Linked DNA regions of Bombyx mori. The protein of the gene in region 4 interacts with the protein of the main gene of each other region in a pairwise test. Links are inferred from orthologs where the notes say so. Each region holds a gene or a part of one and is shown on either strand. Other genes may lie near its edges.

Region 1 (3,653 bases), on a different chromosome or scaffold from region 4:
ATCCAAGTCGAGTACGGGGTGGGGCGACCAGAATAAAGAACCCTCGTATATTTGGTTTGTCCAAAGATGTGTAGTTCTTAAAAAGAAGAAACTATGAAAATATCCTTCAAACTCACGATAGGCACCTTATTATCGGTATTTCATCATGAATTCGAGGTCATCGGCAAGACCATTAGATGTGCGAGAAGAGAGAAACTACAAATCTACTTACCGCTTGAAGCGCCGCTAACCTGTCCTTCGTCATCCTTTACAGAGAATCACGCACCAAGTAAACGTTTTTTCTCGTTACACAATCCCATTCAAAGATATTTTTCTAACAAACGTCACTAAACTAAAGGACACGAACACTACGTTCACTTCACTCAAAAAATCGATACCATACAAAACGTTCAGACGAGCAAAACTTCACTTATCGCTGGTCGCTACACTCGCTACCTGTCTCATGCTGTCAAATTTAATGTTGCCATAATTTTTTTCTAGGATCCACTAATATTAAATATAAAAAAAACAAGGCACACATGCTAAGAAACAACTTATAAGCTTCGTGCGCTACTGTGAAATGAAGATTGTGAGATGGATATAGTATGGCGACCAGGCTCATTAAAATTAAAAGAGGAGTACGTTTTAAGAAGGCCGCAAGACGAAACTCAGCAACGATATATTCATATAGGAAGGATCTCAGAAAGAAACTTTGCACGAAGAAGAATAGTTGCTTGTTCTTCTTCGTTCGAAAATCTATCGAAAGGCCGAAGATGGAAAAAATCCATCGAGAAGCAAGAGTGATTTTATAAAATTTTAATAGTGTAAAGAGGAAAAAGACGATCTTACGAAGTCTTTGTGGCCGATAGAATTCCCGCGGGCATTTACCATTTCTTATTGAAAGAAAATTTGTGTATAGCGTGTGTTCATGAATGGCACTCATGATGAGCAAATTAAAATAGAAAATTAATACAAAACCATTAATACAAAATAAGCTTTATGCTATATTTTTTTGGGAGTCATAATTGCCAATTTTGTTGGCAAAACCACTAAGATGGCAATGTTGAATATAAAATGTTTGAATTTGTAAGCTATAGGGGGCGTAGTGGTTTCGAAATACCAGTGACGTCAAATACCCTGTAGTCAAAACAGCGCATTATACGGCTTATATTATTAATTTTAAATACTGTTACCCAAATAGAAATTAACTCATTTACAAAATATATCTGATTGAAAGGTTAGTATATAAAATGCAAATTAATATTTTTTTAAACATTTGAAATAGTTTTACGTGGCTTTCATAAATTTAAAAAGACCTCACACTGACTCTTAATTCACTGTGCTTGTCAATGTCAAAATTGTCATTGTATGTAATCTTCCGCTTAGTCAAGTGACGCCATTGTGAGCCGTAACGACTTTGCTTTGGAACGAGTTAAATCTCGATTTTCTTATACAATCACGGTAAAGCCTTTAAAAAAATTATTTGTTTGTGTTCTATAAAAAACTGCCAATAAACTGATATCCATATTTATATTATTGGCGTTGTAGTTTTTCAGTTTTTCTCTTTAGAGTTCGGTACCTTCGAGCTAAATTCCTATGAGAGTGATTGAGCGCCATTCGCCGAAAAGTTAAAACAAATTCAAGTTGTCAAGTTCATTCAAACTCACAATTTATGTACCCAGTGATGAATTTAATCTGCTTAAAGTGTTGAATTATTTCTTGTATTCCGCGAAACCTAGTGAACGATCGATTGAAACGACCTGTCAACCGTGCGTCATAGAACATTCTATGGCTATATCCTAATTTTAGTTTACCACATTGTTTCAGAAGTAAAATAGCAATAAAACAACGAAAATGGCAGATGATATGCCCACATTCAAGTGTGTATTGGTAGGAGATGGTGGTACTGGCAAAACAACCTTTGTCAAAAGACATTTGACTGGAGAGTTCGAGAAAAAATACGTTGCGACTCTGGGTGTCGAAGTACATCCTCTAGTATTCCATACGAACCGCGGGCCAATTCGTTTTAATGTGTGGGACACAGCCGGACAAGAGAAGTTTGGTGGTCTTAGAGACGGATACTATATTCAAGGACAATGTGCTATCATCATGTTCGACGTAACCTCTCGAGTTACGTACAAAAATGTACCTAACTGGCATAGAGATTTGGTCCGTGTATGTGAAGGTATCCCTATTGTCTTGTGCGGAAACAAAGTGGATATTAAAGACAGAAAAGTTAAGGCGAAAACTATTGTTTTCCACAGGAAAAAGAATTTGCAGGTAAATAAAACTATTTTCATTCAATTTAAGAGTTAATTTTAAGGCAAAATGTTAAAATTCTTTGTAATTATTTTTGTTTCAAACTTGATTATTTTTTTCAGTACTACGACATTTCTGCTAAGTCAAACTACAACTTCGAAAAACCCTTCCTGTGGCTAGCTAGAAAATTAATTGGTGACGGTAACCTTGAGTTTGTTGCCATGCCTGCCCTTCTGCCACCAGAAGTTACAATGGATCCTCAATGGCAGAACCAAATTGAAAAAGATCTTCAAGATGCACAAAATACTGCTCTTCCTGAGGAAGATGAAGACTTATAAATATGATCAACGGATGTACCCAGTGCCCATTTTGTGATTGGAGGATCATGCAAATGTGTTCAGTGTAGCGTACACTAAATTTTTTCATTCCATTAGGTGATCGCAAATGAACATTATTTTAATAACTTATTAAACCTTCAATCATTTGCTTTAATTAATGTAAAATCATTAGATAATTTAACACGTAGCTCCTCTAGTTTGAGTTTTATAAAACTGTAATTCTAAACTTTTATATTGAAAGGCAACAAAAATATGAGTATTATTTATGTGTAGTTCATTTTTGTTACAGTTGTCATAAAAACATTTTGCATTGATTGCCCAATATGTGTTAATGCCTATTTGGTCACTGTTATTTATAATACACATGTAAACAAATTTGTATGATAACTCTTTGTAAACCAATAGCATGTACACACATAATATTATAATCTTGAAATTATTTCTTACTTTTGTTACATGCAAGGACTGACAATATTTCACTGAAAAATTGAATTGTGGTGATACTTTTTAAATAAAGTGTAAAAAATGAGATCGTGATTTTACTTCATCATATAAATAAAAGAAGCAATGGAGAAAATGGGTTGTTGTAACTTAAGATTCTTTAATAATAATAATATGTAGAATCTGTAAGTGATCTGATTTGTGTGGTTGTTCACAATATTAATGAGCTATCTAATTATTGAAAATATATGACGAAATACTGAGAAATTATTTATTAGCCTCTCTTAAATATTAAGTTTCATGAGGTAGGTACCTACACATTATGCATATGCCTTCAATATCTGGGATTTGACCTTTAGTGCCCTTGATGGCTGGCTCTGAGGCTTTTTCAAGCGTATCTCGAGTCGGGGCGGTTGCCGTCGCAATGAAAGTTACTTTTTAGTCGTTTATTCCTTTAAAACCCTGTCCTGATTGGAAATCGCTGGGGCGCTAAAAAATCACGGACGTTGGGTGTGGTGGAGGTTCATGGCACTATATTGTTCACCGGTTTGGTGTTACGCTCTGATCCTCGAAAATGCGACTGCGCTGTGGATTCCACTGCATCTTTGAGGTGGTGTGCATGCTCACCGGGGAATC
Region 2 (4,357 bases), on a different chromosome or scaffold from region 4:
TAACATATTTCAGCCATAGGGAGCTAAGATTTCAAACATCCTGGGTGGTCAGGCTTGTCTTAGGCCCCTGAAAGATAGGCGATGCTCGACTTCTGCGAGTCCACCATCTCGCAGAAGGAGGCGGCGGAACGGGAGAGGGAGAACTCTTCCTCCCTCTCGGCGCCGTGCCGCCGCCGTCGAGCCGGGGGTCGGAGGAGGGCGTTTGTCCAGCTCCGGCCCCTATGAGGAGGCAGTCTCCTCCCGGTGATGGTCACGGGGCGACCTAAGGGGGCTGAGACTGCGCCGCACGCTACCGTCACTCTAGCGCGCTGGCACCAGGAGGACGGGACAACGCGTCGGCGGCTGCGGACTGCGATGCGGTCCGGTCCGCATTTTCGTCGTCGCTATCGTCGCCGAACATACTGTGGAAGAGCAACCCGGTCGGCGGTGTATCGCGTTCCGACCCGGCAGGCTTGTTCTGGCCCAGCGGGGTATCCCGGAACACCAGCGGCATCGCCCGGGCGGCCTGAAGGGCCGCCGTACCGCGGAGACTGACGTCGTTGGTCGTCGACTATCGCCTCGACGACCCGTCGGTCGGGCGTCCTCGGGGTGGCGCCGCGTGTCTGGTTGTAGTGTTGACCGCGGGAACCCCCCTACTCTGACCGGGTTTTGACCCCGGACGGAGATCGGACGCCGGGTGTAAGAGTGCAGGGGAGTCGTTTAGTGGGTGGGCCCTAAATTCCTTGGGCCCGCGGTCTGCTCTCAACACCTGCAGATCGTTGAGTCTCACATACCCCGCGCGCCCCCTAGGCGCGGGGACCTCGTAGGAGGTTCGGCCCTCGGCCCGGAAAAAAAAAAAAAAAGGGCCCCTGAAAGATGATGACATATCCCAGATATTGCCCCCCCCCCGTACAATATTAAGTTCGGATTGTCAATAATCCCATTCTCACGGATCGTTTGGAACTTCTGGGTCTGCAGAGGGACTTCGGCTCCCTCTGTATTTTGTACCATATGTTCCATGGGAGTGCTCTGAGGAATTGTTCGAGATGACACCGGCATCTCGTTTTTAACATCGCACCGCCCGCCACCGGAGTACAGTTCATCCATACTACCTGGAGCCACTGCGGTCATCCACAGTGCGTTTCCAGAGGTCTTTTTTGCCACGTATCATCCGGCTATGGAATGAGCTCCCCTCCACGGTGTTTCCCGAGCGCTATGACATGTCCTTCTTCAAACAAGGCTTGTGGAGAGTATTAAGCGGTAGGCAGTGGCTTGGCTCTGCCCCTGGCATTGCTAAGTCCATGGGCGACGGTAACCACTCACCATCAGGTGGGCCGTATGCTTATCTGCCTACAAGGGCAATAAAAAATCAATAAAGAAAACACTCAAATTATCCAACTTTTATGCAAAATCACAGTTATCAGGTTACATTAACCAGCAGACTGGAACTGTTGTTTTATAAGTGAGGTTAATTGTTGGATAAGTTTCTCCTATGCTATGTATCTAAAAACACAACATATGTAGATGTTGTGAACCAACTTTGAGATGTCATCTTTGTTAATAATAATGTTGCAATATCAAATACACAAATCCAGCATATTATTTAATTTCTGTTCATTGTTGATGCAAGTAATCAGTTGCAGTTCAGTCTTTTTTATTTATTTTATAAATCACACAGTGACAATTTCATACAGAAAGTATAGTGCAAAGTAGCGATGGCTTGGCAGTGCTCCTGCCAATATTGACATAGATGAACAACAGTGGTCAATCCACCAGGTAGGTCTTTTTTGGCCAATGAAGACAAAATAGACCAGTGGAGTTAGCTGATGTGCAAATTAAGGTATAGTTAGAAGGTCAATGGTTTACATTAAAAACATTTTTATCCACATATCCAAATCTTCTTAATTATTATTAGAGAGCATATCAAAAACAAAAAAAAAACTGCAGATTTGGATAGTAAGCACTTCATCTATTTGGTTTTTTTTTAAGTGTTAATAATTTCCTTTTCAGCTCTAAAATTCCATTTCCCTGTCCGAGATTACAAAATTTTCAAATAAAGTATACACCGTTTCGTTAATGATTATCTTAGAAAATAAGAAAGAAAAGAAACTCACCCATATCCACCGTCTCTATTTCCCCCATCTCTACTGAAGTTGTTTGAACGATCACCTCCACCATACCCGCCACGGTCTCCACCTCCAGAATAGCCGCTGCCGCCTCTGTCACCGCCATAGCCAGAACCACCACGATCACTGCCTCCATAATTGCTCCCGCCACGCTCTCCTCCACTCGAATTATACCCATCATTACTTCTTTCATAGCCACCGCCACTATCATAACCACTTCCATAGCTCTGACCATAGTTACTACTTTGTTGATTACTTCCTCCATAGGAATTACCACCTAAAATTTGTATTTTCGTATTAGTCGTACGCCTAAATCAAATACGTCCTTTACATGGAAATGTGAAATTTAGCATTATAACCTCACCTGAACTTTGTTGGTTCCATTCTTGATTTTGAGATTGCCCAGAGTATCCGCCTTGGTTATAGCCACCTTGCCCACCGCCATAACTATTGTTATCGGCTGATGCCGGTGGAGGCACCGAATACTGCGACGCGTATCCACCGCCACTATATTCACCTACGATGTAATTTAATAAATTAATTTTGATTATATTGCGGATCTTCAAAACTTAAGACAGTATTAATGTTATACGAACGATCACCCATATTCTTGCCGGATTAAGCACTAATTACTATGATTCTCGTGTATACTGTCGCAATAATTATTATCGCGAAATTAATAGAAAAGTAACGCCACGCACACCATCGACAAAAGGAAGTAGAAACCATAGACCTTAAATTGATCGGGGCTATTCATCGATATGTGCAAAGGGAAAGAATGAAAAATTTAGATTAAAGACAATTAAAGCTCAGTCAGTGAAAGTGCACAAATATAATGAAGTTTTTAGTGGTGGTAGGACCTCTTGTGAGTTCGCGCGAGTAGGTACCACCACCCCGCCTATTTCTGCCGTGAAGCAGTAATGCGTTTCAGTTTGAAGAGTGGGGCAGCCGCTATAACAATACTTGAGACCTTAGAACTTATATCTCAAGGTGGGTGGCGCATTTACGTCGTAGATGTTTATGGACTCCTGTAACCATTTCACACCAGATGGGCTGTGAGCACATCCACCTATCTAAGCAATAAAAAATAAACGGAATTGCTAACAGCTTCTGGTGATTTTACCAAAAATCCACGAAAGTCTCAGTAAATTCCTACCATTACTGGGACGTCGTTTTATTTCATTAAATTAATCTCGTTCTAATTGATTTATTTGAAAGTAAAATTATACTTGAATTATATTAAATAAATGGAATACCAAATAAATTGAAATAGAATAAGTCATATAAAAGCAGCCACGACATTGCATGGAACAGATCGTAATAATAATAAAAAAAATCCTATTGACCATTTAGGAAGGTAGAAGTAAGGAGAACCACCCCAGTGTATTCATAAGTATCCGCTGAAAGGGAGCCAGTTAAGGTGAAGCCATAGAAGCAAGTGGAAAGATTTTAAAAAGAACGCCGTAAGCTATTAGAGTAGGATATTAAATTAAAAAGGGAAGAAATACTTCCAAATAGTAATAAAAACAAACAGTTGAGATTTTAAATACGGCATATTTTTTAAACACATTTTTGCATTATACTGCATAAGTCACGAAAAATATAAAATATTCTACTCAGCCCAGCACTCTTCACTCTGCTTAAAATATTCAGATCATTTCCATTTCCTACACTAGCGCTATTTCGGTGTAACTTCCAACAATAGCTTATCTACAGGTATACCCCTTTTTCAACTTATCCATTATACCTACCTACCTACAAGATTGTCCTCCTTACTCTATTTTCTATCCTCTTTTAGAAGGCTGACATTTGGCTGAATTTAGTCGTCTGAATTCAGAAGCTTCTGATTACACTGTTCTAAATTCAGTTACTGAATCAATTATCAGTTTAAATGCGACGAAGTAAGACGTGTCGTGTACGTAAGAGGATGACCCCAGTATTGTTAAACAACATTTTTTTTGTTTGTTTTTGTGTTTTCTTTCAATTTCTCAAAAAAAAAAAAAAAAACAAGCATCAGAAGAAATATTTATTGCTGCGCGGAATGTTAGCAAATATGAATATTATGAGTAATTTAGAACCAGCAGACTTCAGAAATTATCTATAAATGGATTCGATCTCGTTTGACCTAATATTAAACCTTGTGACACCGTTTATTCAAAAGCAGGATACTATCCTACGATAGTCTATTATATATCTATTATATAACTATTACATATTTCATTCTCCGATAGTATAATAGTACAAAAGCAAGA
Region 3 (3,520 bases), on a different chromosome or scaffold from region 4:
GGGTTCTGTAGGTGATGGAGGGCTATTTAAAAACACACTGCTTCATTATAATTATATTGCAGATAGTTTGAACACCATTTTAAAATTATTATCTTTATATTTTTATAAAACTTCTTACATGTTTCTTTGACCGTGTCTAGATTAGAAGTATTGACTTTTTCTTACGAGAATACAATCATCTGTTTTTTAAACGTTTAAAATAATTCTAATATTCGAAATCTGTAATCATGCGTCAAGTGCTGCCTGCCATTACATTTATATTCAAACTCCAACAGTTGAACTGAATTAAATTCAATTCACCCAACTGAACTGAGAACTGTCTAAGCATCTTCATGCTTAGACAGTTCTCTAACAGACCTAAATTTGATCGTGTCTGCTGCACCACGCTCTGAGCGAAGCTCTCATAGCTGATATGTCATACATTATAACACAAATGTGAAACCTAATAAAAAAAAGAAACAAAAAAGTTAAAAATTGTGTATTTTTTCTAAACTTTGAAACCGAGTTTTAAAAAAAAGCAAGTGTTCAAATATCAGGCATGTACCTTATCTATTCTCGCCACAGTGAGCAAAAAAGTGCCTTAACATAGAAATAAAAAAATATATTTAAAAAATCATAACTCGAAAACTATTAAAAATCGCGGAACGTACATGGGGGTGGTTCGGATAGCCCTAGTGATGTTCTACCTCTGGACTTCGGCTTGACACTATTTTTTAGGGCACCCTGTATAAGCGACAGAAGCTTTATAGAGTGGTGTAACATTTATTTCTGTCTCTCTTCCGTCTCCATTCGATCTGAAATGCTTTCGGCTACTGTAAATTTACGAGCAAAAGACTTCAGATCAGATTGTGTATAATAATTTTTTTAAGGGATTTTATGACCTGATAACTTTCTTCGGATGTACATACTGACTTTTTATTTTTTCACATAAAATTATACGACTAACTAATTAATGCTAGGCAACAACTATTCTTCTTAATAAACTTATGATGGTTAGATGGTTGGATGGCAAGAAGACCAGTTCTAACATGAAGAAACACTAAATAGACAAAATAAAACAAATCACACAACTTCACTCCACGTGTTCCCGCCAAAAAGTCCATGTAGCCATCACAGATTAAAATATTTATTACTATTAAAATATTTATTACTACTTAAAGCCATGCTTACTTTGCCTTTTCAATTGGATAATTTTAAAAAGAGAATTTGGTTAGTGTCTACTCTGTGAGGACATTATTGATTTGTCAATTCAATTTGTCAAAAACGAGTAAAACTTACGTGTTATTGAAGGAAAAAACATTTAAAACATAAACAAATCCTCTTAAAATGGATATAACACCATTATTTAAGGCTTGCATAAAAACTGTTAAAACTCGTAACAAGGCTTTCGGCATACACAGTCCGATTAGCGAAGATAAGCAACGCATATTGAGGGTGAAATCAAAAAATGCTTTCATGGCAACAGCTAAGGATATTTGTTCACAAATTACAAAGCTTAGGGACTTTTTATTGGAACACCGCGATAAATATTTAAGCTTCTTCAATAATGTTACTGGAGACGATATGTCTGATGAAGAGCGCGACCAAATAGACACCGGTGCGCAACGTATCATGAACACATGCTCACACCTGCTAAAAGAGTTCAGGAATGATAATCGAAGAACTACAGTGACCCCACAAACTAGGGAATATATGGACTCAGTCGTAGATTTAATTGATGCTTATTTAAAAGCTGTTTGTAAAGTGCATAGTGAATTGAAAGCAATGAGAGTTAAGCGAGCTTTAGATATGAGAAAATTGTCTAGACTTGAGCTACCAGCGACCAAATCTAGTATTCCTAATCCGTTTACACTAGATAAGGTAATAGAAAAAGAGAATGAGACAGAAGATGAAAAAGAAAATACAAAAACAAAATTAGACTTATCAGAGAATGAGATGGCAATTATGTCTGATGAAGGAGAGTTGACTTCAGAAGAGTTGCAAATGTTTGAGTCGGAGAATGTACAGCTGTTAAATGAACTAAACAGTATGACGGAAGAAGTTAAACAAATTGAAAGCAAAGTACTACACATTGCAGAACTTCAAGAAATATTTACTGAAAAGGTAAAAGGTTAAAATTGAATAAATACATAAGCCATTTAAAAAAAAAAACAGATTACAAGAAAAGAATATCTGCCACCAGAGAGGATGAATGTTGTTTATTATAGTCTGTGTATTATATCTTTATAAAATTGCACATACTGGTACATACATATCATAACTATCTTGATCTTAAAATATTCATATTTGGATGTTCTTTCATACGTAAACTATTGGATGTAAATAAATTTTTCAAATCCATGATACTTTAATTGATTTATTTAGATTCAAATTGATATTACTGTTTGTAAAAGTATAATTAACAGTAGCGGTTAAGAATATCTGCCACCAGAGAGGATGAATGTTGTTTATTATAGTCTGTGTATTATATCTTTATAAAATTGCACATACTGGTACATACATATCATAACTATCTTGATCTTAAAATATTCATATTTGGATGTTCTTTCATACGTAAACTATTGGATGTAAATAAATTTTTCAAATCCATGATACTTTAATTGATTTATTTAGATTCAAATTGATATTACTGTTTGTAAAAGTATAATTAACAGTAGCGGTAGGCAGGTAGCTTTTAATAATGAGATATACAAACAGTTTGTCTGACATAAAATGTAAAAAGTGTAAATATGTTTCAGGTTTTACAACAAGAACAAGACATAGATAGAATATCGAATACAGTTGTCGGGGCAACTGAAAACGTTAAGGATGCCAATGAACAGATTAAGCAAGCTATACAAAGAAACGCAGGCCTAAGAGTATATGTTCTGTTCTTCTTACTGGTCATGTCGTTCAGTTTGCTGTTCCTAGATTGGTATAATGATTAAATTTAGTAGTTACTGGTGGTTTTGTGTTTCATTTTCTAAATAATGATAATTTTACAAAAAAAAGGAACAGTTTTGATGATAATAAAATGATCTTAATTGAAATTTTGGAATCAATGATGTTAATATTTTCGCTTTAAATAAACACGTTTTATCAGAGGCTTCTTATGTTTTTTTATGTGAATACGCAAATATTTCACTATCGGTTATATAAAATATACACTATTATTGCTAGAGTTTCGATCTATACTTTAGCCAAACATTTTTTTAGTTGTTTAAAATACAACTATACATATACTAACTAACTATTATACTTATGCTACTAACTTTAACTTATATGAATCTTAGTTGATAACATGAGAAAATGCTGTTAATTAACGTTGTACCATCTATATTATTTTAAAAATACCACTATTTTATTAATTTAGTTACAAATATAACTTCGGTTTTTTACCAGTCGACTAACTTGGCTGTATGTGCTATTTTCTCTTGGACTATCTATTTAAACGTCAAAGTCCAAACTGTCAAGTTCCAACCCCGGGACCTGGGGATTGTTTATTTTTCAGTTTCAAGACCTAGATGCATATAAATTCAGC
Region 4 (2,591 bases):
TATAGCAAATAAATTTTGAGACATCACATAATTTAGTTTTCACATGGCTCCTAGTAAAAAGGCGCCCTGTTCCAAAAAAAGCTCTATTATAAGATTAGCACATTATCAGGTAGCAAGCAGCATAAGGCCTTATTTCGAAATAGTAGTAAAATACGCAGTAGTATGGTGAAATTGTCTTAAAAACAGTTTGAAAATCATGAACTTTCCTACATATCGCTAATATGTGTACTTTTGCCATATTAAATTTGCACACCTAATCCAATTTCCGATTAATCGTATTGTGGTAAAATAAAAATAAAAACAAAATAATAAAAAAAGCTTTAACTATTCGATACCAGAGAGCAGCAGTGGTGACTAAAATAATTAAAAACGTCTATTGCAAAAGTGCCTACCTTCATCGCCCACCTGATATTATTATTCACAAAACAAGCTCAAGTCAGGTAATACACACATTGATAATTACAAATAATGTTACCACAAGAATATAATTCCCGCAAACTATAATATTTTAAGAGTAACGTTGGGGAGAAATTTTTTTTTCGGGAAGTAGGAAATTTGAATCGTTCTTTCTTCTTTCGATTAGATCGTTATGAAAATTTTTATATATTTTCATATTAAAAACGTAAAATTGTGGCGAACATAACAAGTGAATGACTGATTAATTTGATAAGAATGATCTTCAATGTTCAAGCTGTAATTTGAAACATATGGACTTCCAGAGAATAGTTTGTCAGATAAAATTTAGATTATTTCGTAAACAACAAAATTCTAATTAGCATCAATCGGCAAACGAATTCATGGCGCACTTGCCTTTGAACAGCTACTGAATCTGTTACATACCACAACGTGACTACTACCTCATACATTGAGACATTAGGTGAAATTACGTATAAGCGCTTGTCGCCGGATCTTCTCAGTGGGTCGCGTTTCCGACCCGGTGGTAGATTCTGCGAAGCACTGCTCTTGCTAGGGTCAGTGTTAGCAACACTCCGGTTTGAGCCCCGTGAGCTCGCCTACACACGTTAGGGCAAAGCTGAAATAGCCTCTCAAGGCTATCGACATAGATAGGAAAAAAAATGACATGCGCTAACATTAATTAAACACTTAATAAAAATGTTTGTTAGACGCGGATTAAATTGAATACCCAAAATGTTTGTATTTTTTCGTTTCTAAGCTGGTATCCTCAATCGGCATTCACACATACGCATACGTAAGAAGGTGACTCAAAACCGGGTCGTAGCGCTCGCACAAACTTCGTTGCGATTGCAACAGCCAATCACATTTCCAGAATGTTATCGACGCGCATGCGGTCAATGACGTGTCTTCGCCGGCCTATATAACCGGCGGCTCAACTAGCACTACGAACATTTTGTCCGACAAAATTCAAAGTAACACTGTCAACACGACGTTTCCGTTGTGATTTCTGTATTTAATATTAATACCAAATGCCAAACGTAAATATGTCAGAAGCATTCTTTGACGAATACGACTACTATAATTTCGACCACGACAAGCACATTTTCACGGGCCACGGTGGTAAGCAGCGCACCAAGAAAGAAGCGTCTGAACACACCAACCACTTCGATCCGTCCGGGCATTCGAGAAAGATCGTCACGAAACTCATGAACGCCGAGCACAACAAGAAGACTTCAAACACCAAACACTAGATGGATTGCTGATCAATAGACAACTATGGCTAGCAGAAGGACTATTGAGTTGCCAAACGAAAGGAGGACGCTATTGCGGATACCCGAGGAGTGTTCGGGTGGATGCTCGTCTCAGAGATCGATGGAACATCCTAGGCGTTTTTTTGCTCACACAAAATTTCTACTTCGCCCACTCACAGAGGCTGCGATTTAGAACGGGACAACGCCACAAATGAGCCAAGCAGTAAGTCGGTATATTTTGGACGTAACACCGTTCCAGTGTCTGATCTCGAATAATGGGCTCGTGAGCCCGGAACTGCTGTGTTATTATTCCTAGTAAAATTATTATATGTTTAATTTATCTCTCCGAGATACTCGATGGACTGTAATAATTAATTTTAAGACTAATAAATTATAGTTACATAAGATGTGTTTATTATTGATCTCTTGGAGTGGTATGGGCGGCGGCGGCGAGGTCGTTGCCGTGTGCGCAGAATAGGTACTATTAGAAACGCCAACTGGCCTATGTTTATACACAAAGGTAACCTTGAGTGAAGACGGCAGACAGCGAGGTAGCTGGCCTTGTCGCACTGTTTATCATCGCTACGATACTCGATATTCGATTAAACTGCGTCGTAGAAAATACAAACGTGTTTCCAGAGGTGGAAATGTAAATATATATTCATAAACAAAAAAGACAAACTAACAGAAAAGTAATAAACTCATATTTTTGTATCTTATTGGAACATGAAATTCCAGGTGTGCTCGCCAACAACGGCGATAAAACACTTGCATCTTTGTAACACAAAAACAATAGCATTTCAATAACACAGCTGCAGTTATTTCAAAGTAATATTTAGATTAATAAAGTAACAAACACATATTACCGACACATACACAATTGGATAGGTAATGGAACGTGTAGTTATTTAGGTACATATATGT
Region 5 (3,211 bases), on a different chromosome or scaffold from region 4:
GGTGTTCAATGATGTGTAACTATACTGAGACCTTAGAACTTGTATCTCAAGGTGTGTGGCGCATTTACGTTGTAGATGTCTATGGGTTTCAGTAACCATTTAACACCAGGTGGGCTGTGAGCTCGTCCACACATATAGGCAATAAAAAAAAATAAAAAAATAAAAAAGTGTTAGCCCCCTAAGCCACACTCACAATAGTGCATAATAAAATAAATACAAACAGGAATAAAAGCCCATGTCTGAAATGGTTACTTGCTCTGTAGTAAGCTATTTCTTCTTCTTCTCTGTCGTTTCCTCATTACTGAGGGTCGTGACCACCTTGGTCCAGTAAGCTATTTAGTAATGTGAAATATTTATTTCACCATTCATGTTAATTTAAGCAGCATAATCGAAAGCAGATGAGGCTGGCTTTGATTCTTCTCAATAATGCAGAAATATTTAAAAGTAAAAAACAGAGCATACATATCGAAAATCACTTATTTTTAATTATTCTAATTTTATTTTTCAGAGGCTCTTTTGTTACAGTGTATGACAAAATTGAAGGTTTGAATTGGATCTCGTGGAAATAATGATGGTGTACAATAAAGTGTTATTTATTTAAATTTATAGATATATCAACACTGTCATGTTCCAATGTTGAAGCTTACAAACATGTATCTATTCAAAAGAAAATGAAAAAGTAAATAAACTAATTCTCTTTAGATGTGGATCCTTTTCCGTCTTTGTCTTTCTCATCCTTCTCATCCTTATCCTTCTTGATTGTTGACATAGCATTTCTGATGGCTTCACTCTGTGGGTCTACTCCGGGAAGGTTCTCAAGCACACTCTGTAAAAATGCTGGATCATTCATAACTTCTGCATATTCTTCAGAAACATCCATGCTCTCTTCAGCCTGGGGTGCTTCTTGTTGCATGCTCATTTGCATTGCAAGCGCAATCTGCTCCTCTTCAGAGAGTTCCATTGCATCACGACCGAGAGACATAGCAATGGCTCTCTCTACTGCTGTATCTGATCCTTCAGTGGCAGTGCCAGTTTCGCCTTCAGTTGTGGTCTGTTGACGACGAGACTCTTCTTCTTGACGTTGCCTTTGTTCTTCCATCGACACACGTAGAGCTAATGCGAGCTCTGGGTCTACATTGGGATCTACTCCAAATTCGAAAGGAGACAAACCAGAGCCAGAAGGGCCTGCTCCATCACCACCTATCAGAGGACTTGTTATCAAAGCCTCAGAAAGCACAACACAGCCTCCAGCTGGCACAGACACAAGGTGACTTCCCCCAGTCGATGTGTCTTTCCCATTTAGTGTGTTGACAAAGGTAGTCAAAAGGGGGTTGTTTTCTGAATCCTCTCCAAACGAAACAACATCACAGTTGACTTTCTCCTTCTTTAGCCTTTTAGCTAGTTTTACGAGTTCCTTTTCGTCAGTGTTGACAGGGGAACCGACAAAAACTACTATGCGCATCTTGTGATTCTTTCCCTGACGGTGTTTTAAAGCTAAATGTGCAATGCGGATTCCGGTCAATAGATTGATGTCACCGTTTGGCTGGACGCGATGGAGCTTGGACATGATACGTCCTACGTCGCTAGTAAGTGTGGCTAATACTTCGACGTTTGCAAGAGTTAATAATCCGACATTATTCTCAGGATTGGATCGTGTTTTGGAATGACATACCAAATTAACAGCATCCTGCTGAGCTTGCAGTCGTGTCGGCAAGAAATCTCCATTTCTCATGTAGTCACTATTGTCCACACAGATCATAGTACTTTCTAAGACCATTTTAGTATTTTTTCAGCAGACTAATATTTATTAAAGCGAATACAACGGTAGTCAATTCAATTCGTACAATGAACAAAAATTGCTGTATAATCATAGACAATGTCTGACGATTGACTTATGACATATTTAACAAATTGACATTAAGAACTATTCTTCAAGTGGCAAAAGTGTTGAGATAATTCATATCAAAAAAACTTTGTAAAAATAATCGTGTCGAGTTTTCATACCTAGTAAATCTTGTATACAGTTATCAGAAAATTTGCCTTACATTTATTTCTACCACATTATATTGATTTCACTGAGAATTTAAGCCAAATCAACAGGTTACATATCATTTCAACAATGACTTTAACAGGCGTCTTGTAGTCTAAAAAAATATTCGACAAAAACTAGAAGAGCTCTAATAACTCGTACAAGATTCAATACTCGATCAAGTAATATTTTTCACTCGGTGGAATCCTAATTAGACAGGAAATGGTTCGCAATTACGGAAAGATGGTGTATTCTATTACATCGATTAATCTACGTTCCTAACTAAGACATAAGTCTTGGTTATGAATCAATTCGACTGAAACTAAAAGGTAAATTAATTTAATGAAACTGAAAGCCATGTAAGCATTGTTTTGAAATGTTATCCTGCTTGCAAGATATTTAGGTTCAAGATTTGAAGTCGTCGTGGCCTAAAGGATAAGACGTCCGGTGCTTCCTATCGAGCGATGCAACGGTGATCGAATCCCGCAGGCGGGTACCAATTTACCTAATGAAATACGTACTTAGCAAGTGTTCCCGATTGACTTCCACGGTGAAGGAATAACATTGTGTAATAAAAATCAAGCCCGCAAAATTATAATTTGCGTAATCACTGGTGGTAGGACCTCTTGTGAGTCCGCACGGGTAGGTACTACCGCCCTGCTTATTTCTGCCGTGAAGCAGTAATGCGCTTCGGTTTGAAGGGTGCGGCAGCCGTTGTAACTACACAGATACCTTAGAAATTATATCTCAAGGTGAGTGGCGGTATTTACGTTGTAGATGTCTATGGGCTCCAGTAACCACTTAACACGAGGTGGGCTGTGAGTCCGTCCACACATCTAAGCAATAAAAGAAAAATGGTAGGAGGAGGATTTATAACGTAACCGTGAATTTCGGTGACTAATATTTTTTTAATTGCCCGTCACAGAATGCAGCGATAATTGGTACTTAGAAAACGCTGCTTAGTTCCTCTTACAACATACACCTATGTGAAGAGATGGGGTGGTGCTATTCTAGGCCCGAAAACAGACATTTTTATTTTTATTTTTTATTTTTATTTTCTTCTCTTTTTATCTACAATCAGTATCCAGTACTTTTATTAGATGAGTTGAAATTTTCTAAGTCAGTAAGAGCGTGACTCCAGCGAGCCATCTACTCTAAATTTAAGATTTGTCATTGAACTAT

What was found.
Region 1: the proteins of nuclear protein 1 (region 4) and GTP-binding nuclear protein Ran interact in a two-hybrid assay, tested with the Homo sapiens proteins (2 studies listed by BioGRID and IntAct). The link is inferred for Bombyx mori from reciprocal best matches to the Homo sapiens genes NUPR1 and RAN.
Region 2: the proteins of nuclear protein 1 (region 4) and RNA-binding protein cabeza interact in a two-hybrid assay, tested with the Homo sapiens proteins (2 studies listed by BioGRID and IntAct). The link is inferred for Bombyx mori from reciprocal best matches to the Homo sapiens genes NUPR1 and FUS.
Region 3: the proteins of nuclear protein 1 (region 4) and syntaxin-18 interact in a two-hybrid assay, tested with the Homo sapiens proteins (2 studies listed by BioGRID and IntAct). The link is inferred for Bombyx mori from reciprocal best matches to the Homo sapiens genes NUPR1 and STX18.
Region 5: the proteins of nuclear protein 1 (region 4) and proteasome 26S non-ATPase subunit 4 interact in a two-hybrid assay, tested with the Homo sapiens proteins (2 studies listed by BioGRID and IntAct). The link is inferred for Bombyx mori from reciprocal best matches to the Homo sapiens genes NUPR1 and PSMD4.

The regions. Positions count from the first base shown.
Region 1 is NC_085116.1:5,374,897-5,378,549, forward strand, and holds GTP-binding nuclear protein Ran, read left to right. Parts: upstream 1-1,364; 5' UTR 1,365-1,440; intron 1,441-1,806; 5' UTR 1,807-1,833; coding exon 1,834-2,259; intron 2,260-2,360; coding exon 2,361-2,576; 3' UTR 2,577-3,105; downstream 3,106-3,653. Other genes in the region: syntaxin-1A, read right to left, coding at 212-244. UniProt on the Homo sapiens protein: GTPase involved in nucleocytoplasmic transport, participating both to the import and the export from the nucleus of proteins and RNAs. Switches between a cytoplasmic GDP- and a nuclear GTP-bound state by nucleotide exchange and GTP hydrolysis.
Region 2 is NC_085116.1:7,692,245-7,696,601, reverse strand, and holds the start of RNA-binding protein cabeza, read right to left. Parts: upstream 2,859-4,357; 5' UTR 2,712-2,858; coding exon 2,702-2,711; intron 2,623-2,701; coding exon 2,470-2,622; intron 2,383-2,469; coding exon 2,094-2,382; intron 1-2,093. UniProt on the Homo sapiens protein: DNA/RNA-binding protein that plays a role in various cellular processes such as transcription regulation, RNA splicing, RNA transport, DNA repair and damage response. Binds to ssRNA containing the consensus sequence 5'-AGGUAA-3'.
Region 3 is NC_085127.1:13,549,859-13,553,378, reverse strand, and holds syntaxin-18, read left to right. Parts: upstream 1-1,186; 5' UTR 1,187-1,326; coding exon 1,327-2,103; intron 2,104-2,738; coding exon 2,739-2,927; 3' UTR 2,928-2,945; downstream 2,946-3,520. Other genes in the region: cotranscriptional regulator FAM172A homolog, read left to right, coding at 3,504-3,520. UniProt on the Homo sapiens protein: Syntaxin that may be involved in targeting and fusion of Golgi-derived retrograde transport vesicles with the ER.
Region 4 is NC_085114.1:11,550,056-11,552,646, reverse strand, and holds nuclear protein 1, read left to right. Parts: upstream 1-1,337; 5' UTR 1,338-1,445; coding exon 1,446-1,667; 3' UTR 1,668-2,072; downstream 2,073-2,591. UniProt on the Homo sapiens protein: Transcription regulator that converts stress signals into a program of gene expression that empowers cells with resistance to the stress induced by a change in their microenvironment.
Region 5 is NC_085123.1:2,845,244-2,848,454, reverse strand, and holds proteasome 26S non-ATPase subunit 4, read right to left. Parts: upstream 1,861-3,211; 5' UTR 1,778-1,860; coding exon 689-1,777; 3' UTR 578-688; downstream 1-577. Other genes in the region: ribonuclease Z, mitochondrial, read left to right, coding at 526-569. UniProt on the Homo sapiens protein: Component of the 26S proteasome, a multiprotein complex involved in the ATP-dependent degradation of ubiquitinated proteins.